Macaca mulatta: one gene and its partners. The protein of the gene in region 2 purifies or fractionates together with the protein of the main gene of each other region. This does not show direct contact. Links are inferred from orthologs where the notes say so. Each region holds a gene or a part of one and is shown on either strand. Other genes may lie near its edges. The genes, in order: EIF3B, EIF3F, EIF4G1, PRRC2B and DDX3X.

Region 1 (5,540 bases), on a different chromosome or scaffold from region 2:
GCCCAGGCTGGAGTGCAGTGGCGCGATCTCGGCTCACTGCAAGCTCTGCCTCCCAGGTTCCCGCCATTCTCCTGCCTCAGCCTCCTGAGTAGCTGGGACTACAGGCGCCCGCCACCGCGCCTGGCTAATTTTTTGTTTTTTTTTTTTTTTTTTTTTTTTTTTTTGAGACGGAGTCTTGCTCTGTCACCCAGGCTGGAGTGCAGTGGCCGGATCTCAGCTCACTGCAAGCTCCGCCTCCCGGGTTTACGCCATTCTCCTGCCTCAGCCTCCCGAGTAGCTGGGACTACAGGCGCCCGCCACCTCGCCCGGCTATTTTTTTTGTATTTTTTAGTAGAGACGGGGTTTCACCGTGTTAGCCGGGATCGTCTCTCGATCTCCTGACCTCGTGATCCGCCCGTCTCGGCCTCCCAAAGTGCTGGGATTACAGGCTTGAGCCACTGTGCCCGGCAATTTTTTGTAGAGACGGGGTTTCACTGTGGTCTCGATCTCCTGACCTTGTGATCCGCCCGCCTCGGCCTCCCAAAGTGCTGGGATTACAGGCTTGAGCCACCGCGCCCGGCCAATTTTTTGTATTTTTAATAGAGACGGGGTTTCACCGTGGTCTCGATCTCCTGACCTTGTGATCCGCCCGCCTTGGCCTCCCAAAGTGCTGGGATTACAGGTGTGAGCCACTGTGCCCAGCCTACCTTGTTAGTCTTAATGAAACATGAGTAAAGATAGAATTCCACACTGTGCCTCCCTCTAGATCACTCAGCAGCCTTTTGTGTGGGGCCTGTGAGATCTTTCTGTGCTGATCTTGGAGAAACCAGAGTGTCTGCAGTGTATTGACACCAGAATGAACAAGCGCTGCTGCTTCCCTCTTCCGCTTGGAACTCTTGGGGCCGGGCAGTGTGGGGTTGCGGGAGAGAGTTGGTTCCATGAGTTCTGACCGCGTGTTCTGGCCGCACAGACAGACTACGATCCTCTCGTGAGAGGAGGGTAGCATACAGTGTGGCCCCTCTCTTCTAGGTACCTGGTGACCTTTAGCCCCCTGATGGACACGCAGGATGACCCTCAGGCCATAATCATCTGGGACATCCTTACAGGGCACAAGAAGAGAGGTTTTCACTGTGAGAGCTCAGCCCATTGGCCTATTTTTAAGTAAGTGGACCATTGTAACGAGCTCTGTAGCCTTTGTCTTTTCATTGGAACACCTTGGCATTTGTTTCTTCTTCTTAGGTGGAGCCACGATGGCAAATTCTTTGCCAGAATGACCCTGGATACGCTTAGCATCTATGAAACTCCTGTAAGTGGTCCCGGTGATGGAAAACGCCCCGTCCCATCCTTGCTTGTAACTGGGGTGTGGTGCTTTTCCGTATTTGTGCTAGAAGAGGAGGAGGAGGTTTCACAGATGCGTAGGAAAGTCCTGTCTCCTGTGCCTTTTTAACAAACCTTGCTCTGGGCAGAGCTCTTCAGTCACTCCTGCCCCCCTGGCACAGCCGTGGGGGGTCCTGGATGAGAGTTAATGCAGTGGGCTTCAGAACTGCAGTTCTCGGTGGTGGGTGGGTGGGTGGAATCATTGTCATCCTCTGTGTGCGCTGCCCTCTAGGCAAATTCACATCAGACTCTGGTTTCCTTTTGTAAAAAGTTAAGTGTGCTTCTGAGACACTGACATGATTTGACTCAACTTTAGCCTTCCTTTTTTTTGGGCAGTCTATGGGTCTTTTGGACAAGAAGAGTTTGAAGATCTCTGGGATAAAGTGAGTATTCTTATCAATTTGGTGTCTTCTTGCGTTCAGGCTGCTTAACACAATACCATAGGCGGGGTGGCTTATGACAGCAGAGATTTCTTTCTCCCAGTTCTGGAGCTTGGGAGCCCGAGGTCAGGGTGCCTGCAGACCCATGGTGAGGGCCCACCTCCCTCCTCATGGACGGCCCCTCAGTCCAGCCTTCCCGGAAGAAGGCTTCCGGGGCTGCTCTGTAAAAGCTGTCATCTCATTCCCGAGGGCTTCACCCTCAGGACCTCCCACCCCCAAAAGGCCCCACCCCATGCCATCACCCAGGGGGTTAGAATTTCACCCTGTGAATTCGGAGGACACAGACGTGGTCCATTGCAGTTGGTTTCCTTTATTTGTGCTCTCTCCTTTAGCACTCAGCTTTTTTTTTGTTGTTAAAGAGACAAAGTCTTGCTCTGTCACCCAGGCTGGAGTGCAGTGGTATGATCTCCGCTCACTGCAACCTCCACCTCCTGGGTTCAGGTGATTCTTCTGCCTCAGCCTCCCGAGTAGCTGGGACTGCAGGTGCCCACCACCATGCCTAGCTAATTTTTGTATTTTTCACAGAGACAGTTTCACTGTGTTGGCCAAGCTAGTCTCAGAACTCCTGACCTCAAGTGATCCGCCCACCTCAGCCTCTCAAAGTGCTGGGATTACAGGCGTGAGCCACTACCCCCGGCCATTTTTAAGTCTTTTTTGAGACGTAGTCTTGCTCTGTTGCCCAGGCTGGAGTATAGTGGTGTGCCTCCCAGGTTCAAACGATTCTGGTGCTTCAGCCTCCCGAGTAGCTGGAATTAACAGGCGCACCACCACCACGCCTGACTAATTTTTTGTATGTTTTAGAAGAAACGGGGTTTCACCATGTTGGCCAGGCTGGTCTTGAACTCCTGACCTCAAGTGATCCACCTGCCCGCCTCAGCCTCCCAAAGTGCAGGGATTACAGGTGTGAGCCACCATGCCCAGCCTAAGGTGAGTTTGTTCTGGACGCCAGGATGGAGGCTTGGGTCGATGGGCAAGGCTGCTCATTGCTGGGCCCACCACCCTCAAGGCACCACTTCAGTGACCCCTTTCCTGTGCCCAGAAATGAATCTTCCAAGGCCAGAGCCTTGAGTCGGCTTCCTTCCATTTACCTCGTCTTTGACCTAGAAACTAGGGGGGTTTCCAGCCTTAAGGAAGAGAGGGGACTCTGCTTAGGCGAAAGGTTTTCCTATTGCTCTTCTGTCTGAGGCAGAGTTTGGGGAGCCTTCAGCTCATTTTCACCATCAAAGAATGGGCACGTTTTTATTTATCGGAAAACTTGGGACTAGTCAGTATTATAGTAGTGAACTACCAGCAATCCAAGGACATTGACGTGTCTTCTTTCATTTTTACATTCTTGGGCAAAATTATGGCTTATAAAATGAGAAGACCAGGACGTTGGTTCTCAGTAAATGCAAAACAGCACATAGCGTGTATAAAGCTGTTTTTCATGTAGGTGAGCTCAGGATCGTTCGTTCCTTACAGCAGCTTTTCTGTAGAGAGGTTGATACAGTGGAGGGAGTTGCCCTTTTTCTTTTCTTTTTTTTTTTTTTTTTTTTTTTTTTGAGACGGAGTCTCGCTGTGTCACCCAGGCTGGAGTGCAGTGGCGCGATCTCGGCTCACTGCAAGCTCCGCCTCCCGGGTTTACGCCATTCTCCTGCCTCAGCCTCCGAGTAGCTGGGACTACAGGCGCCCGCCACCACGCCCGGCTAGTTTTTTTTTTTTGTATTTTTAGTAGAGACGGGGTTTCACCATGTTAGCCAGGATGGTCTCGATCTCCTGACTTCGTGATCCACCCGCCTCGGCCTCCCAAAGTACTGGGATTACAGGCTTGAGCCACCGTGCCCGGCCTGAGTTGCCCTTTTTCTTGCTCATTCCTTATACTTGATTTGCCGGTTTCCCCATTTGCACCTTAATTAATCTTCAGATGACGTAATAGCCCGGTCAACCAGCCTACAACTTACTTGCGTCAAAGCAGCAGTGTGCGGTGTCTTAAGAGTGGGCTGACAGAGCGTAGGCTGGAGTCCCTATGAATCTGTGTGTGATGGTGGGGTTGCTAATACTCTGTCTGCATTCATTCCCTGTTACAGTGAGCACGGTAGTGCCCCAGGGTCCTGGCGAGGACCTGTGAAGCTGCCCGGCGGGAGTGCTCAGCGTCAGTTATAACAGCATTGAGCTTCTGTATAGCAAATGAGTTGTTTTATTTTCTTCTGCTTTTCAGTTTCATCACTTGGCCTTTGCTTTAGCGTTTTATTTTCCTGTCGTGCAGAGACTTTTCTTGGTCTCCTGGTGGTAACATAATCGCCTTCTGGGTGCCTGAAGACAAAGATATTCCAGCCAGGGTAACCCTGATGCAGCTCCCTACCAGGCAAGAGATCCGCGTGAGGAACCTGTTCAACGTGGTGGATTGCAAGCTCCACTGGCAGAAGAACGGAGACTACTTGTGTGTGAAAGTAGATAGGACTCCGAAAGGCACCCAGGTATGTAGATTCCCTTGGGAACTGGCGATTCATTATCCTCAGCTCTGAAGTGGCCACCGTATTGTTTGGAGGTTGTTAATGGATTTTGTTTTGTTGTGTTTGTTTTTGAGACGGAGTCTCGCTGTCACCAGGCTGTAGTGCAATGGCGCGATTTTGGCTCACTGCAGCCTCCGCCTCCTGGGCTCAAGCGATTCTCTTGCCTCAGCCTCCCAAGTAGCTAGGACTACAGGCGTCCGCCACCAGGCCCGGCTAATTTGTGTATTTTTAGTAGAGACAGGGTTTCATCATATTGGCCAGGCTGGTCTTGAACTCCTGACCTCAGGTCTGCCCACTTCGGCCACCCAGAGGGATGGGATTACAAGCGTGAGCCATTGTGCCCAGCTGAGAATACTATTGTCTTTCTGAGCACAAAGAGTAGTATACCCAGATTTTTTATTTTTTTTTGGTGGTTGATCATTTAATACTTATTTTATCAAAAAAATTGCCTGAGTTGGCTGGGTGTAGTGGCCCGTGCCTGTAATCGCAGCACTTTGGGAGGCCAAGGTGGCCAGATCACGAGGTCAAGAGATTGAGACCATTCTGGCACACATGGTGAAACCCCATCTCTACTAAAAGTGCAATAATTAGCTGGGCATGGTGGCGCGCGTCTGTAATCCCAGCTACTCGGGAGGCTGAGGCAGGAGAATTGCTTGAACCCAGGGGGCGGAGGTTGCAGTGAGCTGAGAGATTGCGCCACTGCACTCCAGCCTGGCGACAGAGCCAGACTCTGTCTCAAAAAAAAAAGAAAAAAAAATTCCTGAGTTTTCCCTCTAATGGAAGTATTCCTCTTTGTTTTGTGTTAAAAAAGTTTTAATTGATAGGTAATTCACATGCCTTAAAACACCCCTTTAGAGTGGCGAACTGGTTCAGTGGCTTTTTGTGTGTTCAGAGTTGTGCAGCCAGCACCGCTCATTTCAGAACATTTTCATCGGCTGGGCGCGGTGGCTCCCGGGGTGGGAGGGAAGATAGCTTGAGACTAGGAGTTTCAGACCAGCCTGGGCAACACAGTGAGACCCCATGTCTACAGATAATTTTTAAAAGATAAAAAATAAGAAATGTTTTTGTCACCCTACAAAGAAACACCATGCCTATTAGCAGCTTCTCTGCCCAGCTCCTGGCATCACGAATGTCAGTGATTTCCCTGTTCTGGACGCACAGCTGGAATCGGATAGTATGCCGCCTTCTGTGTCTGATCTTCACGTAGCTCAGTGTTCCCACGGCTGGTCCGTGGTGCTGAGTCTGAACGATA
Region 2 (5,354 bases):
GTGTTTGATGTTGATGTCACATATAGACATGAGTCTGCAACTGTGTTCCATTTCACAGGTACGCTACAGGCCATGACATCACAGAGCACTCTGTGCTAATCCATGAGTACTACAGCCGAGAGGCCCCCAACCCCATCCACCTCACTGTGGACACAAGTCTCCAGAACGGCCGCATGAGCATCAAAGCCTATGTCAGGTGACCACAGTCTTGGGCTACAAGGGCATAAAACCATGCCTAGATGCCATCCCTCCCCCACCCCAAGCAAGGTTCATTCCTTCCGTGTGTAACTTGCTGTGTTCCTCTCTCTCAACAGTTATTCAAACGGTTTCACTCTGAAACAGAATCTGTTCCTATAATTTCTACCGCTGATCCTAGTTGTACTCCAGTTTCTACTCATTGCCCTTTTAAGTATTTGAGCAAGCTATCAAGTCATCTTTTGTAGAACCTAATTATCCATAGTTCCTACAGCCAGTCATCACATGGTATTTGAGCAAGCTATCAAGTCGTCTTTTGTAGAACCTGACTCCATAGTTCCTACAGCCAGTCATCATGTGGTATTCTTGTCATGATCCTTCACCACATTCATTACTTTTCTGAATTACCCATTAGTTTGTCATCCTCTCTAGAACTCAGCGCAGTACTCAGGGTAGTACGTATTAAAGGATGACTGTCCTTATTTTGAACACATTAATTAACCCAGGATTGAGTGCAGTTTTAATGACAGTGACATTACAGTGAACACATTGAGCTTGCAGGTGGTTAAAATGCCAGTTAAGGGGGATGTTGGGAAAGGCCCTGGTGGTGTGCTGAGGAAGCAGCTGTGGGAGTTGGAAGCAGCTGTGGGAGTTGGAAAGTCAGAGGGAAGGCAGCTGTTAGTGCATCTGTTAGGCTGTTGATTTCGTGCTGGTTCTGTGTCTGACACTGACAAAGCCAATTAACTCTTACACAGTAAGACAAAGATGGTGGATGCCAAGTCTTTATGAGCCAGTTGGCATACCACTAAGCACTAGCCATTGCCTGACTTCTTAGCCTTCCCAAGTATTTCAGACTCCTCAAGATCCAGTATATATATATATATATATATATATATATATATATATGATCTATATATGATCCAGCTGGATGGATGGGTGGGTGGGTGGATGGATGGATGGATGGATGGATGGATGGATGGATGGATAGATAGATAGATAGATACGATAGATACGATAGATACGATAGATAGAGAGTTGACATAGTAAAGTATAGATCCAGGTATATAATTGACATAGTAAAAACAATACCTTTAGTGAGATTACTTATAGCACCCAATCTGATTTGGTGAGCAGGAGTTGGTTTCCTTTTTCAATGCTGATGAAGGGGTTGGTCCCAGAAAAGACTTGTCTCTGTCTCTTTTCCATGGTGGGCAGCTATATAGACAGCCAACTCCATGGGTAATTGAGTCCTGTCCTCTCATCACTGACACTGCACCGTGTGTGAAGTAATCCTCTAAAGGGACCAGGCCAGGTGCAAAGGTTGCGTCCCCTCTTACAGATCAAAGGTTTGGTATGTGGGACAAGCTAAGGGGAGAAAGTAACTTTTGCTCCCATGAGACCTCGGGTTCATTTGGTCCCACCCTTCCTGTCTTAGAACCTTGGGAGCCATATTCCTGCTGTATCTGCATTCTCAGCCCAGAATAGACATGGAAACCCTCTCCCAAGGCCATCTGTTTACCTTGGCTTCTCCTTCCTCAGTACTTTAATGGGTGTCCCTGGGAGGACCATGGGAGTGATGTTCACACCTCTGACAGTGAAATACGCATACTATGACACTGAACGCATCGGAGGTGAGTAACCTTTCCATACTCTCTTGAGAGGTCATAGGCGTTTTCAGGGAAGGGGGCTGCTGTTCTGCAACAAGGATGGAGGCCTTGGGTGGTTTAAAAAGGGACTATTGATCTAAGGTTTGTGAAGACTAGAAGTTACAGTCATCTCTTGTATAAATGGGATTTAAGGAGTTATTTGAGAAACTGTTAAAGGTGGGAAATTATCAGCACCAGAGGCCACATGACCATTCATATGAGATCAAAACCGGTGATGAGCATACCAGGTAAAAGGAGTTGAGCTCTGTTAGGAGGAAGAAAAGCTGATAAGGGCACAGCAGGGAGTGTGATTGAGCAGACTGTCTAAGGGGAGGTGGGAAACAGAGTTAGCAGGACTTTAAGGCCATCTCTTTCCTGGTGGGATGACTGAATTCTCTCTCTTACTGCCCACCACTGCCACTGCCACCCAACTTCCACAGTTGACCTGATCATGAAGACCTGCTTTAGCCCCAACAGAGTGATTGGACTCTCAAGTGACTTGCAGCAAGTAGGAGGGGCATCAGCTCGCATCCAGGATGCCCTGAGCACAGTGTTGCAATATGCAGAGGATGTACTGGTGAGAGGGGAAAGAAAAAACAAAGGGGGAGGACATAGTTCTCCATCCTGGGATTACTGAGGCAGGTGCTGATGAAATGGTAGGGCGCAGTGGTTATAATTAACTGCCTCATTGAGTCTTTGTTTTGGTGCTCAGTCTGGAAAGGTGTCAGCTGACAATACTGTGGGCCGCTTCCTGATGAGCCTGGTTAACCAAGTACCCAAAATAGTTCCCGATGACTTCGAGACCATGCTCAACAGCAACATCAATGTGAGTGCCCTTCCTGAGCCCCTGCTTGCCTGGTTTCTTCCCCTACCTCAGCACATACACTCAAATGTGAAGAGTTGGGTGAGGTGGCCTGGAGTAGGATAGAGACAGGGCTTCACCTATAGCCCCATGGAAGTCCAGGTTGGGAGGAAGGAAGAGGTGTGGTATGCATGTTTGGAGACTTCTTCCTTCTCCCGTGATTACATTGTCTCATTTACTGCTGATGCTACTGTGACTTACTGTCTAAATTTGTGATAGAAAGAAACACTAAAATGCAGAGGTTAAGGAAAATGCAATTACTTGTTTTCCCCATCTGAGTTCACGGACCCCCTATATTCCATCCATGGGTTTCAGCTAAGGCACCCCTAGACTGTAAGTGTCTCAGTAGAGATAAGAAAGTCTTCTCAAGCATTTCTTTTCTGTCGTCTACCTTTTTGACTTTTATTCGGTCTCTCCCAGCTGTCATTTATCCACAACTGTCCTCATACCTGGTGCCCACCATAGAGCCAGCCAGTGCCAGCCTTTTTGCTCCCTTTCCACCCAACCCCCCACTCATTGTGTATTCTTTGTCTTCCAGGACCTGCTGATGGTGACCTACCTGGCCAACCTCACACAGTCACAGATTGCCCTCAATGAAAAACTTGTAAACCTGTGAATGGACCCCAAGCAGTACGCCTGCTGGTATAGGTCTTAAACCCAGGACTCAGAAGTGAAGGAGAAATGGGTTTTTTGTGGTCTTGAGTCACACTGAGACAGTCAACTGTGTGTGACTCTAATAAACATAGCCTACCTTTTGTAAATTAATTTCATCTTATGTGAGTTTATTGCCGGGTGGAAGGGAGGAAAATGTTTTAGATCACACAGAAACCAGGAAGTGAATATTGTAGGTAAAAAAGTTGGTTATGTGTTTGGCAGGTTACTGTTTTACCAAACTGTTCTTTTGGTTTTCAATATGGAAAGGTGTCCATTGGCAAAACTGTACCTTTTCTTGAGGATTCGTGTGATTTCTGTAGGAAATGAAAATAAGAATCCATGGAGAAAAAATAGCTGAGAAAATTGGATGCTTAATCTAAACTAAAAGAGTAGAGTGTGTAGTCACTATCTTAAAATACATTAATAGTAAGATGGAGCTGTCTGCCACTTTAGTTTGGGGAGGGACAATTAAGATCTGTGGGTTAAAGATTAAAGAGGTTTCCCCAAAACTTCAGAAAATTCTTAGGTGCTATCTGTAACTTGAGGGTACAGCCTTCAGTTATATTGAGGTCTGCCAGTGGCTCAATTTGAGCAAAGACTAGATGGCATTTCCCAGAGGCCTTGTAGGCTAGAGTACTTGCCTGTGTAACTTCAGACATCCGTTTCCTCTGGTATCCTGGAGTTCCACCTCACCACTGTGTGTCTTAGAAAGAAACAAGTCATTATTCAAGAACTCAGGAAATTACATATTGGAGTGAAAAGGTGGATGAAGGCAATGGGGAATCAAAAAGGCCTGGATCCTAGTTCTGAGGTATGTGTAGCCTTAGGAAAGATAAATTATTATAAAAGTCATAAGATATGGATCATAAACATACATAGTCCATTAGGGTATTATGAGGATTCCATGAATTAATAAATGTCAGGTTAATCACCACTTGTAGAGAATAGCTCCTGGTATGTAGTAAGCACAGATAAGTGGTAGATGCTATGATACCTAAAGCTGAATAGTTTGAAAGTAATAAGCAATATGAACCCCAGCCTGGAATTCAGTTCTGAGATATGTACCTTAGGAAATACAAGTTATGGGAGTCATAAAGTATGGATAGTAATGATAGATACTTTCTTACAGGTAGGGAAGTGTAAACAGATCTTACTGGCAAAATGGTAATGACAGGCCAAACTGTGAGGTTAAAAGTAGAGAGCATGGTGGGAAGAAGGTTAATCGAGTCAAAAAAGTTTTCTTACATTTTTGGGAGTAGCCAGTTAATATCAACTTAGTCTTTTTAAGTATGCATGATAAAATTCCAAGGTTAATTGCTAGAAGTATATATAATCCCTAAATGAATAGTGATGAGAAATGGTGGGATAATAGGCAAGAAACAAAATTTTAAATTTGAGAAATAAGCATAGAAAAGGTGGATAAAACAAGATGGCAAAACAAGTCCAAATACATCAGTAATTATAATAAATGTGTAAGTATTAAACTAGCCCGAGGAAAAATTGAATATTAAAGCAAACCCCAGTTGTATGTTGTTTACAGGAGACACATCTAAAACAAGGACATATAAGTTGTCCTCCAGCTGTAACAACATAGGTGAATGTTAATCGTGTTGAATGAAAAAAGCTGGTCTCAGAAGACATACATTATGATACTCCAAAAGTTCAAAAACAAGTGAAACTTGTTTAGACATGCAGTTGGCTGTCTGTATATGTGGGTTCCACATCTATGGACTCAACTAGCTACAGGTTGAAAATACTGAGGGGGGAAATTGTGTCTGGACTAAACCTGTACAGACATTTTTCCTTGTCATTTTTCCCTAAACAATTCAAGTATTAGATAGTGTTTATACTGTATTGGGTATCTAGATGTATTAGGTAATCTAGAGATGACTTAAAAGTATATGAGAAGGTATGCACAGGTTATATCTAAATACTGCATATTAGGGACTTGAGCATCAGAGGATTTCTATATCCAAGGGAGGTTCTGGAACTAATCC
Region 3 (5,540 bases), on a different chromosome or scaffold from region 2:
CATCCCCACCCGGCCCCCCCCACAAGTCCTGGAAGCTCTCAAGGCCTCCGCCTCTGCTCAGTCCTCAAGCCCTGGGCGTGGTGCCCAGAATAGGGTGCCAGAGCTGGGGAAGCCGCTGAGTCACCCTGGCTCCACCTACTGGATCTGGGCCCTGCCCCCAGAGATCAGGCACACTAGCCACAAGTGAGCCGATTGGGTGCTAGATGGGGGTCTTGGGCCCCAGGGTGTGCAGCCACTGGCTTGGGGACTGCTGGTGGGGTAGGGATGAGGGAGGGAGGGGCATTGTGATGTACAGGGCTGCTTTGTGAGGTCAAGGGTCTCTTAAGGGTGGGAGCTAGGGCAGGGACTACAAGAGCAGCCAGATGGGCTGAAAGTGGAACTCAAGGGGTTTCTGGCACCTACCTACCTGCTTCCCAGTGTGGGGTGGGGAGTTGGCCCAGAGTCTTAAGAGTGGGGCAGGGTGGAGAGGTGGGCTCTTCCTGCTTCCCACTCATCCCATAACTTTCTTTCCCCAGATCCGAATTCGAGATCCAAACCAAGGAGGAAAGGATATCACGGAGGAGATCATGTCTGGGGCCCGCACTGCCTCCACACCCACCCCTCCCCAGGTACTGTCTGTTTTTTGAGCGATACCCTGACTGGGATGTCTGTTCTGCCCTGGACTCCCAAGTCTCTGGATCTTTTCTTTCAACTAAGGGATTTATTTCCCTGCTTTCCTGGATTTCTAGGCAGAGCTAAAGTAGAAATGGCTCTAGTAAAGAAGGGTTGTGGGACTCTTCAGTGCAAACTTGGTAACCCTTTGTGTCCTGCAGACGGGAGGCGGTCTGGAGCCTCAAGCTAATGGGGAGACGCCCCAGGTTGCTGTCATTGTCCGGCCAGGTAAGTAAGCGGGTGGGATGGAACTTTTACGGGGAAAGGGAATGTTGACAGTTTGCTGTCACCTCAATGCTGAGGTGGTGGAGTGACTTGAACTGGGTACCAGAGAAGGATGACTTAGATTTCAGGTCGTGGGATTTTGAGGGTGAATTGGGTTTTGGATGAAAGTGGAAGTATAGCTTAGGTGGGAGATGATGACGTGGGAGTGTTAAGTTGGAAATACCTTGGCTGGAGGATGGGGAGGAACAACAGCAGTGAAGCACTTGCCTTTAGTTGCTCATTCTTCCTTCCTATGGTGCAGATGACCGGTCACAGGGAGCAATCATTGCTGACCGGCCAGGGCTGCCTGGCCCAGAGCACAGCCCTTCAGAATCCCAGCCTTCGTCACCTTCTCCGACCCCATCACCATCCCCAGTCTTGGAACCGGGGTCTGAGCCTAATCTCGCAGTCCTCTCTATTCCTGGGGACACTATGGCAACTATACAAATGTCTGTAGAAGAATCAACCCCCATCTCCCGTGAAACTGGGGAGCCATATCGCCTCTCTCCAGAACCCACTCCTCTCGCCGAACCCATACTGGAAGTAGAAGTGACACTTAGCAAACCGGTTCCAGAATCTGAATTCTCTTCCAGTCCTCTCCAGGCTTCCACTCCTCTGGCATCTCACACAGTGGAAATTCATGAGCCTAATGGCATGGTCCCATCTGAAGATCTGGAACCAGAGGTGGAGTCCAGCCCAGAGCTTGCTCTTCCACCAGCTTGCCCCTCCGAATCCCCTGTGCCCATTGCTCCAACTGCCCAACCTGAGGAACTGCTCAACGGAGCCCCCTCGCCACCAGCTGTGGACTTAAGCCCAGTCAGTGAGCCAGAGGAGCAGGCCAAGGAGGTGACAGCATCAGTGGCGCCCGCCACCATCCTCTCTGCCACTCCAGCTATGGCTCCTTCAGCTACTTCCCCCGCTCAGGAGGAGGAAATGGAAGAAGAAGAAGAAGAAGAGGAAGAAGGAGAAGCAGGAGAAGCTGAGAGTGAGAAGGGAGGAGAGGAACTGCTCCCCTCAGAGAGCACCCCTGTTCCAGCCAACTTGTCTCAGAATTTGGAGGCAGCAGCGGCCACTCAAGGTAAGGATTGGTTGGGCAGTAGAGGTAGGGTGGGCTAGGGGATGTGGTTCCTTGCCCTCCTTGATGACCTCCCGTTTTTGCCATGTTTCTGGGTCATAGAGGCCCTGCAATGGAATCTAAGAACTAGATTAAGGACTTTTAAGCCTGAAGACTGTGATGCAAAGGGGAAATATGTACTTTGGCTGCTTTTTATTTCCCAGGGATTAAGGGTACTCCTTAAATTATTGGCAAAGACCCATGCTTTTATTTATTTTTTAAAATTAGTGGCAGTATCTGTGCCAAAGAGGAGACGGAAAATTAAGGAGCTAAATAAGAAGGAGGCTGTTGGAGACCTTCTGGATGCCTTCAAGGAGGTAAGGGAGCAGAAAACGGAAGGGGAGAGGGCCAAGTTGAGGTATGGAACAGTGGTCATTGTGCAACCAAAACTGGTGTTCTGTTGTTCTAGGCAAACCCGGCAGTACCAGAGGTGGAAAATCAGCCTCCTGCAGGCAGCAATCCAGGCCCAGAGTCTGAGGGCAGTGGTGTGCCCCCACGTCCTGAGGAAGCAGATGAGACCTGGGACTCAAAGGAAGACAAAATTCACAATGCTGAGAACATCCAGCCCGGGGAACAGAAGTATGAATATAAGTCAGGTATGCTGAAGAAAGGGTTGAGAATGACTTGAGTTTTCTTATTAGGGCCAGAGAAGACAGTATGATTGCTTCATTCTCTTCCTCGCAGATCAGTGGAAGCCTCTAAATCTAGAGGAGAAAAAACGTTACGACCGTGAGTTCCTGCTTGGTTTTCAGTTCATCTTTGCCAGTATGCAGAAGCCAGAGGGATTGCCCCATATCAGTGATGTGGTGCTGGACAAGGTTAGTGGCTTGAGTCAGGGAGGGGACGATAAGTTTGTGCTGGATGGATTGGGGAGGAGCCTGAGGTCCTGAAAGAGTAGTCAACTGCTCTAGCCTGCTTCTAAGACCTTTTCCTGTCCTCTTTGCAGGCCAATAAAACACCACTGCGACCACTGGACCCCACTAGACTACAAGGCATAAATTATGGCCCAGACTTCACTCCATCCTTTGCCAACCTTGGCCGGCCAGCCCTTAGCACCCGTGGGCCCCCAAGGGGTGGGCCAGGTGGGGAGCTGCCCCGAGGGCCGGTGAGTGGGGCTGGGTAAAGGGGCAGGTGGGTAAGGAGTGGGAGTGGATGATTCCCCTGTGTCTCAGTGCTGACGGGGAGGGTTTTGCCCTGGAGGCGTGTAGTAGTGGTATCACATATTGTGCTGACTAGTTCCACGTCCCCTCTTGTCTTCATCTCTTGCTTAGCAGGCTGGCCTGGGACCCCGGCGCTCTCAGCAGGGCACCCGAAAAGAACCACGCAAGATCATTGCCACAGTGTTAATGACCGAAGATATAAAACTGAACAAAGCAGAGAAAGCCTGGAAACCCAGCAGCAAGCGGACGGCAGCTGATAAGGACCGAGGGGAAGAGGATGCTGATGGCAGCAAAACCCAGGTACTGGCGAGTCCTGCTTTTGGTCTCTCTCCATTTCTTTTCCATGTCTGCTGTCAGTGCCCTCTTTGCTGCTTTTTGTCCTTATCAGTAGCATCTGTCATGCCTAAGTCCCCACCACTCTCTCCTGTCCCTCTGAACAGCCTGTTCTGAGACCCTCACTGGAACTCTTGTCTCCTCTTCCTCCAGGACCTATTCCGCAGGGTGCGCTCCATCCTGAATAAGCTGACACCCCAGATGTTCCAGCAGCTGATGAAGCAAGTGACGCAGCTGGCCATTGACACCGAGGAACGCCTCAAAGGGGTCATTGACCTCATTTTTGAGAAGGCCATTTCAGAGCCCAACTTCTCTGTGGCCTATGCCAACATGTGCCGCTGCCTCATGGCGGTTAGTTTCCACTGGGTTCTAAATCTTATGGTCTAGTTGCCCATTTCTATTCCCAAGACTCCTTGAGTCCAGCTTCTTGGTTCTCCTCCAACTTGCACCTCTTCCAGCTGGAAGGAGGCACAGCTGGGGCCAGATATCTTCCTGGGTCAGGTAGTTAAAGGCTCTTGGAGGGCCTTCCCTGCCCAGTACTAGTCTGAGTGTGACATTCTCTCCGACCTGCAGCTGAAAGTGCCCACTACGGAAAAGCCAACAGTGACTGTAAACTTCCGAAAGCTGTTGTTGAATCGATGTCAGAAGGAGTTTGAGAAAGACAAAGATGATGATGAGGTTTTTGAGAAGAAGCAAAAAGAGATGGATGAAGCTGCTACGGTGAGAGAAAACCCACTACCGATTCCACTCCCCACTTAGCTCCTTCCCTCACCCAGATTCTACTCAACTGTAGAATTTGGAATGGAAATAGTGGTGTCTTGGGGATTTCTCTGGCTCAGAACTTTTTTTTTTCCTTTTTGAGACAGAGTCTCGCTCTGTCACCGAGGCTGGAGTGCAGTGGCGTGATCTTGGCTAGCCTCCACCTCCCGAGTTCAAGCGATTCTCCTGCCTCAGCCTCCCAAGTAGCTGGGATTACAGGCATGTGCCACCATACCTGGCTAATTTTTTTGCATTTTTAGTAGAGACGGGGTTTTACCATGTTGGCCAAGCTGGTCTCAAACTCCTGACCTCAAGTGATCTGTCTGCCTCGGTCTCCCAAAGTGGTGGGATTACAGGCATGAGCCACTATGCCCAGCCAGCCTGCCTCAGGACTGAGTGCTTATTGCTAAGTTTGGATATCCAGGTAGAAAAGGGTTTTAGCAGAGTGGCTGGCTATCTTTTTGACACAATCCCTGTCATGTGAATGGCAGGCAGAGGAACGAGGACGCCTTAAGGAAGAGCTGGAAGAGGCTCGGGACATAGCCCGGCGGCGCTCTTTAGGGAATATCAAGTTTATTGGGGAGTTGTTCAAGCTGAAGATGTTAACAGAGGCAATAATGCATGACTGTGTGGTCAAACTGCTTAAGAACCATGATGAAGAGTCCCTTGAGTGCCTTTGTCGTCTGCTTACCACCATTGGCAAAGACCTGGACTTTGAAAAAGCCAAGGTAGAGGTTCTTGCATCTGGAGGGGGATGGGCTGAAGCATGCGGGGCTCACTGAGCCACAGGGACGGGGCGGAAGGCCTGAGGGGAGGGGTGGGGCCTGCAGTTATAGGTGAGACATGAGAAGTTCCTGGTCTGATGCCTTTCTCCTCCATAGCCCCGAATGGATCAGTATTTCAACCAGATGGAAAAAATCATCAAAGAAAAGAAGACGTCATCCCGCATCCGCTTTATGCTGCAGGACGTGCTGGATCTGCGAGGGGTGTGTGTCCCCCTCCTCCCCACTGCCAGCCTGCTGCCTCCAGTTTCTGACACTGTCTTGTCTGGCCTTCCCTGACATCATCGTGACTGGCCTTCTGTCTCCACAGAGCAATTGGGTGCCACGCCGAGGGGATCAGGGTCCCAAGACCATTGACCAGATCCATAAGGAGGCTGAGATGGAAGAACATCGAGAGCACATCAAAGTGCAGCAGCTCATGGCCAAGGGCAGTGACAAGCGTCGGGGTGGCCCTCCAGGCCCGCCCATCAGTGAGTT
Region 4 (5,540 bases), on a different chromosome or scaffold from region 2:
TTTATTTCTCCAAGTGGTGGAGGTCCCTGGGAATGAATATAGCCCTTGTGGTTTATTGACCTTGTTTTCTGATATTGGTAAGGAACCTATTGAGTGCTGTATGCAGTGAGCTCCACTTTTCTAGTGTGCAGGCTGCTTGTTTTATTTCAGAGCAATGCACGTTGGACATTCCTTAGAGGACAGTGGTCCCGCCCTAGGATCCTCCCAAGGTGTAAGGGAGGCCCGTGAGCTGTTTCAAGAGCTGCCAGAGAGAAGCACGTCACCTTTGGGTTACGGACGTAGATTTGCAGGTTTCAAGTTGGGCAGCTCCCTTCCCGATGTTGCTGCTGAGCTAGTTGTGCATGGCCTTGGACGGGTCAGGTACACCCCTCTCACCTATATTTCTTCGTGTGTAAACCAGGAAGAATGAATACCTGCCTTTCAGCGTGGCAGAGCGTTTCATGCCATAACACCTATAAACTGGTTTATCGGTGTCACCGTTACTGACTTTTTATAAACTTTATTTTTTTATAAATTTTAAAAGGGACCTACTTTTTGTCGTAAAGAGCATGTGGATAATGGTTGTAATTCCACCAATCTCTCCTAGTCCTGATGGTCTTGAAGCACTCATCAGCAATCGTGCCTACTAGAGTAGTAATAAGTAAAGGAACACAGTAGTCAATACTGAGGAATAGTGCATTTTGTTGGGAAACTGAGGTGATACGTAGACATTACTTGGTGCACACCAAACAGCAAGGTGTGCAGTAAATTATTACTAATATTAGCTGAAAATATTTCAAAACCTGTGTGCTGTGGAGAAACAAGCCAAGGACTTAAGGCTTTTCCCAGTATCTCACTTAATTACCTTTAAACTTCTCTGCTCAGCCTCTTCTCTCTTCTGGGCCCCTGGGAGCATTCCAGGGACTGCCTTTAATGTGATTTTAGAGCATGGGAGTGTAGGCGAGCACTGCACAGTTACTCATGTTCGTGGGTTATAGAATTACTGATGGGGGAGAGCTCTGGAATTACTTGTGCCAAACCTAGCAGTGACAGTTGCGCTAGGTAACTCCTTGGGGTGCGGAGGGAAGTGATGGGTAAGTCCTTCCTTAAGAATAGAAGGAATTGTCAGGCGTGGTGGCCCACGTCTGTAATCCCAGCACTTTGGGAGGCCGAGGCAGACGGATCACCTGAGGTCAGGAGTTCGAGACCAGCCTGACCAACATGGTGAAACATCATCTCTACTGAAAATACGAAAAGTAGCCAGACGTGGTGCTGTGCACCTGTAATCCGCTACTCAGGAGGCTGAGGCAGGAGAATCGCTTGAACCTGGGAGGTTGGAGGTTGCAGTGAGCCGAGAGCGCACCACTGTACTCCAGACTGGGTGACAGAGCGAGACTCCATCTCAAAAAAAGGAAGTCTGAAAGCACCAGGGCAGCCTGTCTAGTCATAGTTGCTGGAAACCTAGGGTGTAGACAGGAAGAGGAGCTGGGAGATGGAGGCCCACAGCCTTTTCTGTGGACTGGGAGAGTGAATGACTCAAGTCTCTTGATTGATGACCTATATTTATTGAGTGCTCTTAATAAGCACTGGGAGCACCAACAGAACCGTCCAGGGAATCAGCTCAGGATGTGCTGTAGACTGCCAGGCGGATTGGCCGCCTTTTTGTTTTCAGAATGGAAGGATGTGTGCTGGAGGCTGCTTGGGCGTCCTCAGAGTGTGAGGCAGCAGTGAGTCCTGCCTCAAGGCCAATTCAGGGTTCCTTTAGGAATTAGCACCCGGGGTCACTGATGGGATAGAGCAGGGTCTGAAATGAACCCTCTTGAGTCAGGCAAGAGCCTTGATTTTGAATAGTTGACTGATACTTTCTGTTTACCCATTTGTGCAAATGTTCTGTATCCCGATTGTGCTGTGGGCAAGGGTGCACAGGGAGTCTCTTAGGGTTCGGTGAGGGTTACCAGCAGTCCAAACCATCAACTGCTGTGAGTGCAACAAAGGAGCACTGGCCGTTCTGTGTGAGCAGAGAACTGGGGATCTGGTCTCGTCTGGGTGTAATGACAGGCTTCCTAGAGGATGTGTTGAAGCTGGAAACCTGGATTTAGGGACGGAGGGAAGAGGCGCTTACCTAGGGGCCCCAGTGTATTCCCATGGCCTGAAGTGGTGGCAGGGATATATGGAGCAGAAAGCAGAGGGCCAGTCGTGCAAGGCAAAGCTAGAGAGGCAGACTGGGCAGTCACATGGGACCCAACCCTCACCCTAACCCCATAGGTCACGAGTAGCCTCGTAGGATTTAGGCTGTCGGGTGGAGAGTGGTGGAGAACCACTGAAGGCTCTTTTGAGCTAGGGGTCGACCTATTGGGCGTGGGGTGTCTGTGTGAAAAGATCACCCTAGTCGAGGATGGAAAATGGATTGAAGAGGCCAGGAGGGAGCAGGGAAGGGATGCTGGTATATTATTTAACCTCAGGTGGTAGCTGCAGACAAGGAGAGAAGTGGCCAGCGTCCAGACATTCTGTGGGAGGCTGCTGGTGGATTCCAGGAGTGTCTGATCTAAGTGAAAACCTAGCCTGGCTCGTGTACCACAGGCGCAGATGGGCCTCCATTGTGATAATGGCTTGGCTCTCCACCAGCCTTGGACAGGGACCTGAGCTTGCAAGCTGTAACACATTGGGGGCTCCCCCTTGAGCAGCTGCCCATCCCTCCCCTCTTTGGTCTTCTGTTCCAGGTGGGCTTTTTGTGCTGCCTGCTGGAAAGCTGGAAGGCGTGTGTTGGGTGGCATCTCAGCCCCCTGCCGCACCAGCCTGACCAAGTCTCTCTCTTTGCGGGCAGGAGCAACTGTACAAGATGCAGCACTGGCAGCCGGTGTACCCCCCGCCATCCCATCCCCAGCGCACCTTTTACCCACACCACCCCCAGATGCTGGGCTTCGATCCCAGGTGGATGATGATGCCTTCCTACATGGACCCACGCATCACGCCCACTCGGACCCCAGTGGACTTCTACCCCTCCGCCCTGCATCCATCAGGTAAGCACTGTGGTCTAATGGTCCATACCTGTATCACCCAGGATAGCGCGGTGGTCAAGGGTGTCATCTCGAGTTAAACAGATACACCTGGATTTTGGTCTGGCTCTTTGTCATGTACACGACTGGTCTGAATTTCAAAGGACTCGCTGGCAAAGTATAGGTACAATAATAGTTCTGTCATAAAGATTTGTCGGGAAAGTCATGAAGATCGTGTATCATAAATTGCTTTAATTAATTTTAGATTTCTGCTGTGTCGTTTTGTCCTTCTCATTCTTAATGTTCTTTGTGCTGTCTCTTCTTTCCTTGATTAGTCTTTCCCAAGGTTTGTCTAGTGCCTTTTTAAAATCAGTATTTGGGCTTCTTCATTACTGTATCTTATTTGGGTTTTATTTTAATAATGTCTGGTTTTTCTTTTCTTACTTCCTTTAAAATATCATACACTTAGTTTACTAATTTCTGGCTTTTAAGATTCTCTTTGTGGTACTAATTTCTAATGTAGTTGCTCTGTGGTCAGATAATATGGTCTGTGTGTTACAGACCAGGGGTCAGCAAACTTCTACAAATGACCAGATAGTAAGTCTTTTAGGCCCTGATCAACTAGTCAGTTGTGGTGTTGTAGGATGAAAACGGCCATAAATGATAGTAAGTGAGTGAACATGGTTGTTTTTTCCATAAAATGTTACTTATAAAAACCTGCAGCAGGCTGAGTTTTGTTTAATGGCTGTAGTTTGCTGACCAACTCCTGACTTAGGTTGCTTGACATTTGTTGGGTTTTCTCTGTAACCTCTTCTGTGGTGATTCTAACATTCTACATTTGCCTGAAAAGACTGTATTCTCTGGTTGGAGATAGTCCATTAAGTTTAGCATGCTAATTGTGTTGTGCAAATGTCTTCTTCATTGCAAGTTTTTATCCCTTTGACCAGTTACTAAAAGGTGTTTTAAAATGTCCCACTATGATTATGGATTTGTCAGATCTTCTTTGGGAGCCTGTCAATTTTTGCTGTGTCTATCTGGAGGCATACAGGTTTAGAATTTCTGTATCTTGTTCCTTCTATCCTTATGTAGTACCCTTGTTATCATTAATAGTGCTTTCTATCTTTATTGCCTACTTTGATAGCAATATAATAATTCTAGTTTTTTGTTGATAAGTATTTGAAGTCTTTTGTTCCAATTTTTACAGTTAGCTTCTTTGAGTCCTTATTTTTTGGGAGTGTATCTTTGTATCTACAAGATGTGTATGGCTTTACCACTCTGAAAGTCTATGACTTTTAATTGCAAAAGTTGGTCCTTTTAGATTTATTGGGATTACTTTTATTATTGTTAGAGACAGAATCTTGCTCTGTCGCACAGGTTGGAGTGCAATGGTGCAATTTCAACTCACTGCAACCTCTGCCTCCTGGGTTCAAGTGATTCTCCTGTATCAGCCTCCTGAGTAGCTGGAATTACAGGCACCTGCCACCATGCCTGGCTGATTTTTTTTGTATTTTTAGTAGAGACGGAGTTTCACTATGTTGGCCAGGCTGGTCTCGAACTCGACTGACCTCAAGTGATCTGCCTGCCTTGGCCTCCCAAAGGGTTACAGGCATGAGCCACCACGCCCAGCCTTATTGGGATTTTTTTTTTTTTTTGAGACGGAGTCTCGCTCTGTCACCCAGGCTGGAGTGCAGTGGCTGGATCTCAGCTCACTGCAAGCTCCGCCTCCCGGGTTCACGCCATTCTCCTGCCTCAGCCTCCCGAGTAGCTGGGACTACAGGCGCCCGCCACCTCGCCCGGCTAGTTTTTTGTATTTTTTAGTAGAGACAGGGTTTCACTGTGTTAACCAGGATGGTCTCGATCTCCTGACCTCGTGATCCGCCCGTCTCGGCCTCCCAAAGTGCTGGGATTACAGGCTTGAGCCACCGCGCCCGGCCTGGGATTATTATATTTAGATTTTCCAACTATGATAGTTCATGCATTCCATTCTTATTCTTCTCTTTCTATGCCTTTTCTTCTTATTCCTGCCTTTTCTTGGTCCTATTCTTGTTTTTCTTTTGCTTCTACGTTTCATTTCTATATGTTAGTGGTTACATGAACATTCTAACATGCACCTTCAACTTAGCAAAGTATTTGGGGAGGTAGAAAGTCTTTGTCCCTTAAACCCCCATGAAAGTAGGCATGTGAGTCTGAATTCCTGGGAGGGGGACAGTGGTTTCCCTGCCCTGGTCCAGGCTAGACAGACCACCAGTCTGTTCCCGGTAGTAAAGTGCATATGTCTATCTAATGTGCCTTTTGAGGATGTGGCCCTTTTGGGTCTTTGTTTTAAACAGTGTCTCAGTTGTATCTCCCTGCCCTGTTTAGAAAGACTTCATCCCCTGTCCTGTGAGTGTTAAGGACCAAGCCCGTATCTGACAAATGTGCTTTTCTTGCCCGCTTCCTTGGACTTCACAGGTCTTTGAACCAGGCAAGGTGCATGCGTGTGTGCCTTCAGAGGTCTTCAGGTCAGGACAGATTAAGAGCCCTGTGATGTGTAGGTGGGTGGGGTGCTGTATCCACGGGACAGTC
Region 5 (6,065 bases), on a different chromosome or scaffold from region 2:
TAATTGAAAATAGGGAACTGCTGTATATTTTAATTCTTTTAGGTACTCCCATGGCAGTACCCTGTACTCGGCTCTACTCAAAAGTAAAACAAAGCCCAGAACCAGGGTAGTCAGTGCATCCCATTGTTGCTATATGCATTTTGAAGAGCTATCGGAACTCACAGTTTTTGAACCTGACTCATGTTTACCCTGGTTCATAGGAAAACGAAACTGAAACAAAACCGAGGTCCTTCACCAATACTCCATGAGAATCCACGAATCTCAGGGCAGGAAGGGACCCTAATATCATTAAACCTAGTGACTCTCCAAAGGGCATTGTAGAAATCTGTGTATTTCTGGTCGTCACAATGACTGGCGAGGGCTACTGGCATTTAGTGGGCAGGAGCTAGGCATGCTAGGATGTTCTGTGATGCTGGTCATTCCCATAGAGCGAAGAATTGAACCACTGGACACTGATGTCGGTGAAAAGCTAGTTCATTATCATCTAAGCCTAGAACTAACACTGTTTTACATATGAACACAAAGTATCTTTGCCCAGTTTCCATATATTCTGAATTTTCCACAAATGCAACTACTATTTCAACGGAAGGAAGACTGTACTGTTTTATTTAAACATTATTAATAGTTCAACATTGTGGAAAATGAGGTTCCTAGTAGCAATGCTGTACATGGAACTCGAGTTGTGAAATCAAAACACCTTTCCAGTTCGCATTTGTGGCTCTACTGGGCAGGTATCTTCCTACCAGTTAGCGTAGCTGTGCAGCGGCATTAACATATTATAATACGTTGTTTTATTATAATCATTTTGCTTCCGTTTGTTAATAGGTCATGTTTTTTGAAATTGTGTTTGTAGGTTTACATAGTATTACCTATGATTTGTTATTTCAGTATAGGTAAAAGGGACGTTAGAAAATACTAGTTATGAAAAGGAGTTGGGTCTTTCACAGGGTTATGGAATGTAGCAGACTCCTTTTATAGATGAGGAAATTGAGACCCAAAGCCGTTAAACCACTTGCCCCCGACAGTGTGATATTCTCTCCCTATCTCGTTCGAATTTCCATTTCGATTTTAAAAATTGGGGAGAGAAGTTTTGTGTATGGTAAATTATGTGATAAGCACGAACTATTTGAATCCTGGCAGCAGAAGACCCTTTGGAGGGTGGTGGAAACCACTGCGTTTTATTTAATTCCGTCGGGCTGAGGGTCAGAAGGGAGAGGGGAAAGCGGTCGTAAGAAACCACGGATGTGCGTGTGCCGGCTCAAAGCCGGGAATCCACTAGTAAACACATCTTCTTGTATTTAAGGGCCTGCGGCACCGAAGCCGGGACTTGGGGTGGCCTGCCTGGGAGGGGGCCACGGGAAGAGGTTCCTCCGACGGCAGAAACGTGGTTCCTCCCGTTCCTCATACACCGCAGCGGCCTGAGGGTAACCCCGCTGCAGCCCCTCCTGCAGGCCCAGGTTGCACCGACCACAAACATTCCCGACACCCTTGGGCCCTAGAAGAGCCGTTCGCGACCCGCAGGCTCCCCGCAACGCCGGTGTTCACCTGCCCTAAGCAGCTGGGTGCCCAGCGAGAAGAAGCTAGGGGCAAATGTAGCCCGCATTCCTGCGGAGGGCAGGGGTCCCGGGAGGGCGCGCCAGCGGCGGCTCTGGATCAGCGCGTGACTGTCTCATTGTTCCCTCACCGCGGGGGGTGGGGGCGCGCGCGCACACGTCTGGGGGTTGGCCGGGAGGGGCCATTGTGTGTTTCTAGGCGGCGCCCCCGCTACCTAGGCAACAGCGCAGGGAGGTGTCGGGCCACCAGCGCGCCGCCGGCTCCCCTCCATTTCCCCCCGACTCCCGCCCCGTCACCATCCTACCCTCCTCCCTCCTCCTTTCCCCTTCCTCCGCTCCCCTCTTTTTCCTCCCCCTCCTCCCCTTCCCTCTGTTCTCTCCTCCTCTTCCCCGCCCCCCCGTCCCGAGCACTCTAAATTCAAGCCACCGTTTCCTGCTTCACAAAATGGCCACCGCACGCGACACCTGCGGTCACGTGGCCTGCCGCCCTCTCGGTTTCGGGACTGTCTGCCTAGCTCCGACTTCGGGGAGGCTACACGCGGAAGACCGAGGGCAGATTAGACCGGAGAAATCCCACCACATCTCCAAGCCCGGGAACTGAGAGAGGAAGAGTGAAGGCCAGTGATGGAAAAAAAAAAGAAAAGAAAAGAAAAAAAAAAACCCAAGAAAAAAAACCCGAAAAACTAAAGCTGAGTGCATAGGGTTGGAAAGGGGAGCGAAGAGGCCTAGGTTAACATTTCCAGGCCTTTTAGCTGGTGGTAAACGGGAAACGCAAGTTCTCGCGAGATCTCGAGACCTCCGAGGCTGAGACTACGGTTTTAGCGGAGAGCACGGGAAGTGTAGCTCGGGAGAACTGGGACAGCATTTGGCGCTCCAAGCTCCAAGACAGGACTGCTAGGGGCGACGGGACTAAGTAGGAAATCCCGTGAGGTTAGACCTGAGGGAGCGCGCAGTAGCCGGGCATTAGTCGCCGCGACAGGGGATTGCAGTGTGAGAGGGAGGGCACACGTTGTACGTGCTGACGTAGCGGGCTTTCAAGCGGGTATATTAGATCCGTGGCCGCGCGGTGCGCTCCAGAGCCGCAGTTCTCCCGTGAGAGGGCCTTCGCGGTGGAACAGACACACTCGCTTAGCAGCGGAAGACTCCGAGTTCTCGGTACTCTTCAGGGATGAGTCATGTGGCGGTGGAAAATGCGCTCGGGCTGGACCAGCAGGTGAGCCGCAAGGACCCCACTGGGCTGGCTGCTGCGTGAATCCCTCCTCTGACCTAACCTGGCTAATGGCGCAGCGCTAACCGGGACTCTTACTTTTCATTTCCTGGGTGCCCCGGGGCTATGGAGGGACAGGAACGTTGGTTGGGGCTGTCGCCCGGGCCCGGTCTCGGCCCGCTGTATTGTCCCCGGGACGAGCACAATGGCGGCTTTTGTGTGTGCGTGCGCAGGCGGGCGGAGGGGGGAGGGAGTGCGCGCGCTCTCGCGGGGACGCGCATGCGCGAACCCCGACTGATTAGTGACTGGGGGGGGTGTTTTGCGGGAGTGCGCAGCGCGGCGGGACGCGACTGGAGACCCTTTTGGCCTGGAGGGTTTCGGCCTTCACGGCTGGCGCAGCCTGGATTACCGTCTGGAGGACCCGGCGGCATCCGGTGTTTGCGTGCCTGCGAGCAAGGGGTGGAACGCGGCCCAGGAATGTGGGAGGGGGCGGCGCGGCGGGGAGGGGGTGGCCTTCGCTTGGGGTAATGGCGGCGGTCTCTTTTGTGTGGTGCTGGGAGGCGCTGTGGCTCACTCCCGGGAGACGGCGGGTCCCGGGCGGGCGAGGGCCTGGAAAGGAGGATGGAATGGGCGTCTTGTTTTTCCCGGGTTCCTTCCGCAGGCCTTTTCGCTTCAGCCCAGGTTGCGCAGGGTCCGCAGGCCCGGCGCCGCGGCCGGGGAGGCTGCGTTTCCGGAGTGGAAAGTTTTGTGACGCAGAAGATTGGGGAGGAGTGGGGGCGGGGAGGGGAGGCAGGAATGGGCCGCTGGGCTCTGAAGATAGAGGTTAGACGCGGCGGGGAGGTTAGCCAGCGAGGCCCTTTCTCCTCCTTGCTTGGCCCAGGTTGTCCCTGTGTGGCGAGTTAGCCGGGAGCCCCGCGTTTTTCTGGAGTGGAGGGGTCATCGCGGGTTGTGGGAGTGTCTTCATGTTAGTGACTTTGATCCAGGAATCCGCCTTTGGAAAAACACCCGGCTTTTGGGGGAAGTAAACAGTTTTGTTGTTGACTTGTTGCTGCCTGTGGAGTAGAATCTCGCGATGGGTCCGAGGCCCCCCCAGTCTTTTAGACAGAATCTCCTCTTCTAAGGATTTAGGGGCAGAGGAGAGGAGGACGTGTGATCTGAGAGAAGGTTTTGGGCTTTGGTGGCAGGAAGACTGCATCCCGCCGCAACAGTGGCACCACGTTTCAGATAAGCTCTTGTGTGGGTTATGCGGAGCCTTTAAATACACTTCTGATTAGGAGTTAATTTCACAAACTCCGGAATAATCCTGGGACTAAGTTTAGTGGCACAAATTAATTGAATACGTATTTTAATGTAGTCATATGTAATATTTTTTAGGAATTGATCTGTTCCTTTGGGAGCATTTTCTCCCTGTTAATGAACCAATTATATTAAATCCTCTAATTGTTGACACTTCATATGTTGAATTGAACACAGACATTTTAACAATCTACCAGCAGCACAGAGTATTCCCAGTTTTACCATTTTCCATTTAGCTACAGTGTCCTTTTAAGGATTCTAGGCAGCAGTGAACCTTATTTAAAAAGCAAAATTGTACTATAACAAGTGCAAAAGGAAAGTTTGTGGTTCTGCCGTGCTTTAAAGTATTAACGGTAGCAAGAGAAAGCGCGGTGGTGTTTTTTCTCATAGAAATTCTGGAAATTAGGTGCCTGAAGTCTTACACTCAGCATCTGCTTCCAGTTTTCAGTGACTCCATTGATGATGCCTGCAGTTTGGCAGTATCATACTGAGCTTTAAACACAAGATTTATAAACATGGTATATAGTGTATCTTTTGCAAACAGGTTGGCAACGGTACTGTGTAACTTGGTCTTTTGTGGCTTTTTTGAGAAAAATGAAACACTTTGCATGTACAGTTTTTTCCACCAACTACTTGTGAGTAGTTCCTGGTTAGTTATACAACGTTACGAAGGTAGCATATAACCCTTTTCAAGAATGTTGAGGCTTTTGAGATACCAGTGTAAGGGAGATGGGTAGAAATATAGATGAAAGGCACTAAAACGTCCTACTCCCTAAGAGCATTGAATGCCAGTTGTACCATTTATTCAAAGTCATTTTTGAACTTCTGTTACAATGGGGTAATAAACAGGTAACTACTTCAAGCCGGGCTCATGCTTGTAATCCCAGCGCTTTGGGAGGCCAAGGCAGGTGGATCACCTGACCTGAGGTCAGGAGGCCAGCCTGGCCAACATGGCGAAACCCCGTCTCTACTAAAAATACAAAAAGCCTAGCGTGGTGGCGCACCCCTGTAATACCAGCTACTCGGGGAGGCGGAGATTGCAGTGAGCCGAGATCACACCACTGAATTCCAGCCTGGGTTACAGAGGGAGACTGTCTCAAAAAACAAACAAACGAATTAACAGTCAAACTACTTCAGAGTTGTGCTTAACATAGTGTTTTGTGTAAGTGGTTGGTATATTGCTTTTTTTTGTTGTTCTTAAGAGTACTACCCGACTAAAAATACGTAGGCAATATTTGGGGATGAAGGAACTAAAGAACGGCCAATTCAAAATTTGTCCTGACATTTTTCAGGTGTGCTTTTTAGGTTTAAAATACCAGGTACTACAGAAAGTTGGCGTTGGAAATGTTTATGACTGGCACTAAAACGAATCCCTTATCTATTTGACATTGAAGAATAATTTTGAGGTTCAGTGTAAGCTTTAGTTTGGTGATTAGGGAGCCTGTGCTATGGAACATGTTGCAGTGAAAATTCGTTTTGAATGAATGAATGAAATTTGGACAGTTTCTACTGAATAGCACAAGCATCTTGGTGTACCGCCTTCTGTAGTATATACAATAGTAATATTTTGCATTTGCCTAGAGCGTTACAGATTTGAAAGCATTCTTAGTCACTTTCTCATTAAGAGTTGGTATCAGCCCTGTGAGGTGGACTGGCCAACTACTTGAATGCAGTGCTAGCAAATGCTAGAGGGCGCGACTAGTTTTCTCTTAATACAGTATTTGAGCACATGGGGTGCTAACCATCTCACTCTCTTCTAGTTTGCTGGCCTAGACCTGAACTCTTCAGATAATCAGAGTGGAGGAAGTACAGCCAGCAGTAAGTAAAACATCTTATGGATTTATTGAATATTAGAGCTTAATGTCTTAAGATTTCATTGGGCTTATTTAAAATTTAAGAAATTTGCCTTTCAATTTTTACTGCTTAAAGAATTATGTAGTCTAAAGCATTGTTGCCTTTTTTTTTTTTTTTTTTTTTTTTTTGAGATGGAGCTTTGCTCTTGTTGCCCA

The links.
Region 1: the proteins of EIF3F (region 2) and EIF3B purify together in Homo sapiens (affinity purification with mass spectrometry; 14 studies listed by BioGRID and IntAct, counting the BioPlex papers as one, with this or other methods). This does not show direct contact. The link is inferred for Macaca mulatta from reciprocal best matches to the Homo sapiens genes EIF3F and EIF3B.
Region 3: the proteins of EIF3F (region 2) and EIF4G1 purify together in Homo sapiens (affinity purification with mass spectrometry; 3 studies listed by BioGRID, with this or other methods). This does not show direct contact. The link is inferred for Macaca mulatta from reciprocal best matches to the Homo sapiens genes EIF3F and EIF4G1.
Region 4: the proteins of EIF3F (region 2) and PRRC2B purify together in Homo sapiens (affinity purification with mass spectrometry; 3 studies listed by BioGRID and IntAct, counting the BioPlex papers as one, with this or other methods). This does not show direct contact. The link is inferred for Macaca mulatta from reciprocal best matches to the Homo sapiens genes EIF3F and PRRC2B.
Region 5: the proteins of EIF3F (region 2) and DDX3X purify together in Homo sapiens (affinity purification with mass spectrometry; 3 studies listed by BioGRID and IntAct, with this or other methods). This does not show direct contact. The link is inferred for Macaca mulatta from reciprocal best matches to the Homo sapiens genes EIF3F and DDX3X.

What each region holds. Positions count from the first base shown.
Region 1 is NC_133408.1:36,347,623-36,353,162, forward strand, and holds part of EIF3B (eukaryotic translation initiation factor 3 subunit B), read left to right. Parts: intron 1-1,008; coding exon 1,009-1,140; intron 1,141-1,218; coding exon 1,219-1,285; intron 1,286-1,692; coding exon 1,693-1,739; intron 1,740-4,041; coding exon 4,042-4,252; intron 4,253-5,540.
Region 2 is NC_133419.1:57,531,816-57,537,169, reverse strand, and holds the end of EIF3F (eukaryotic translation initiation factor 3 subunit F), read left to right. Parts: intron 1-58; coding exon 59-196; intron 197-1,734; coding exon 1,735-1,826; intron 1,827-2,281; coding exon 2,282-2,418; intron 2,419-2,553; coding exon 2,554-2,667; intron 2,668-3,241; coding exon 3,242-3,319; 3' UTR 3,320-3,468; downstream 3,469-5,354. UniProt on the Homo sapiens protein: Component of the eukaryotic translation initiation factor 3 (eIF-3) complex, which is required for several steps in the initiation of protein synthesis.
Region 3 is NC_133407.1:96,459,836-96,465,375, forward strand, and holds part of EIF4G1 (eukaryotic translation initiation factor 4 gamma 1), read left to right. Parts: intron 1-515; coding exon 516-608; intron 609-812; coding exon 813-879; intron 880-1,177; coding exon 1,178-1,993; intron 1,994-2,048; exon of another isoform or gene 2,049-2,127; intron 2,128-2,257; coding exon 2,258-2,346; intron 2,347-2,438; coding exon 2,439-2,625; intron 2,626-2,713; coding exon 2,714-2,847; intron 2,848-2,975; coding exon 2,976-3,134; intron 3,135-3,300; coding exon 3,301-3,489; intron 3,490-3,675; coding exon 3,676-3,873; intron 3,874-4,095; coding exon 4,096-4,242; intron 4,243-4,772; coding exon 4,773-5,009; intron 5,010-5,162; coding exon 5,163-5,267; intron 5,268-5,373; coding exon 5,374-5,533; intron 5,534-5,540.
Region 4 is NC_133420.1:16,048,277-16,053,816, reverse strand, and holds part of PRRC2B (protein PRRC2B), read left to right. Parts: intron 1-2,803; coding exon 2,804-2,999; intron 3,000-5,540.
Region 5 is NC_133426.1:41,231,310-41,237,374, forward strand, and holds the start of DDX3X (ATP-dependent RNA helicase DDX3X), read left to right. Parts: upstream 1-2,628; 5' UTR 2,629-2,721; coding exon 2,722-2,766; intron 2,767-5,816; coding exon 5,817-5,874; intron 5,875-6,065. UniProt on the Homo sapiens protein: Multifunctional ATP-dependent RNA helicase. The ATPase activity can be stimulated by various ribo-and deoxynucleic acids indicative for a relaxed substrate specificity.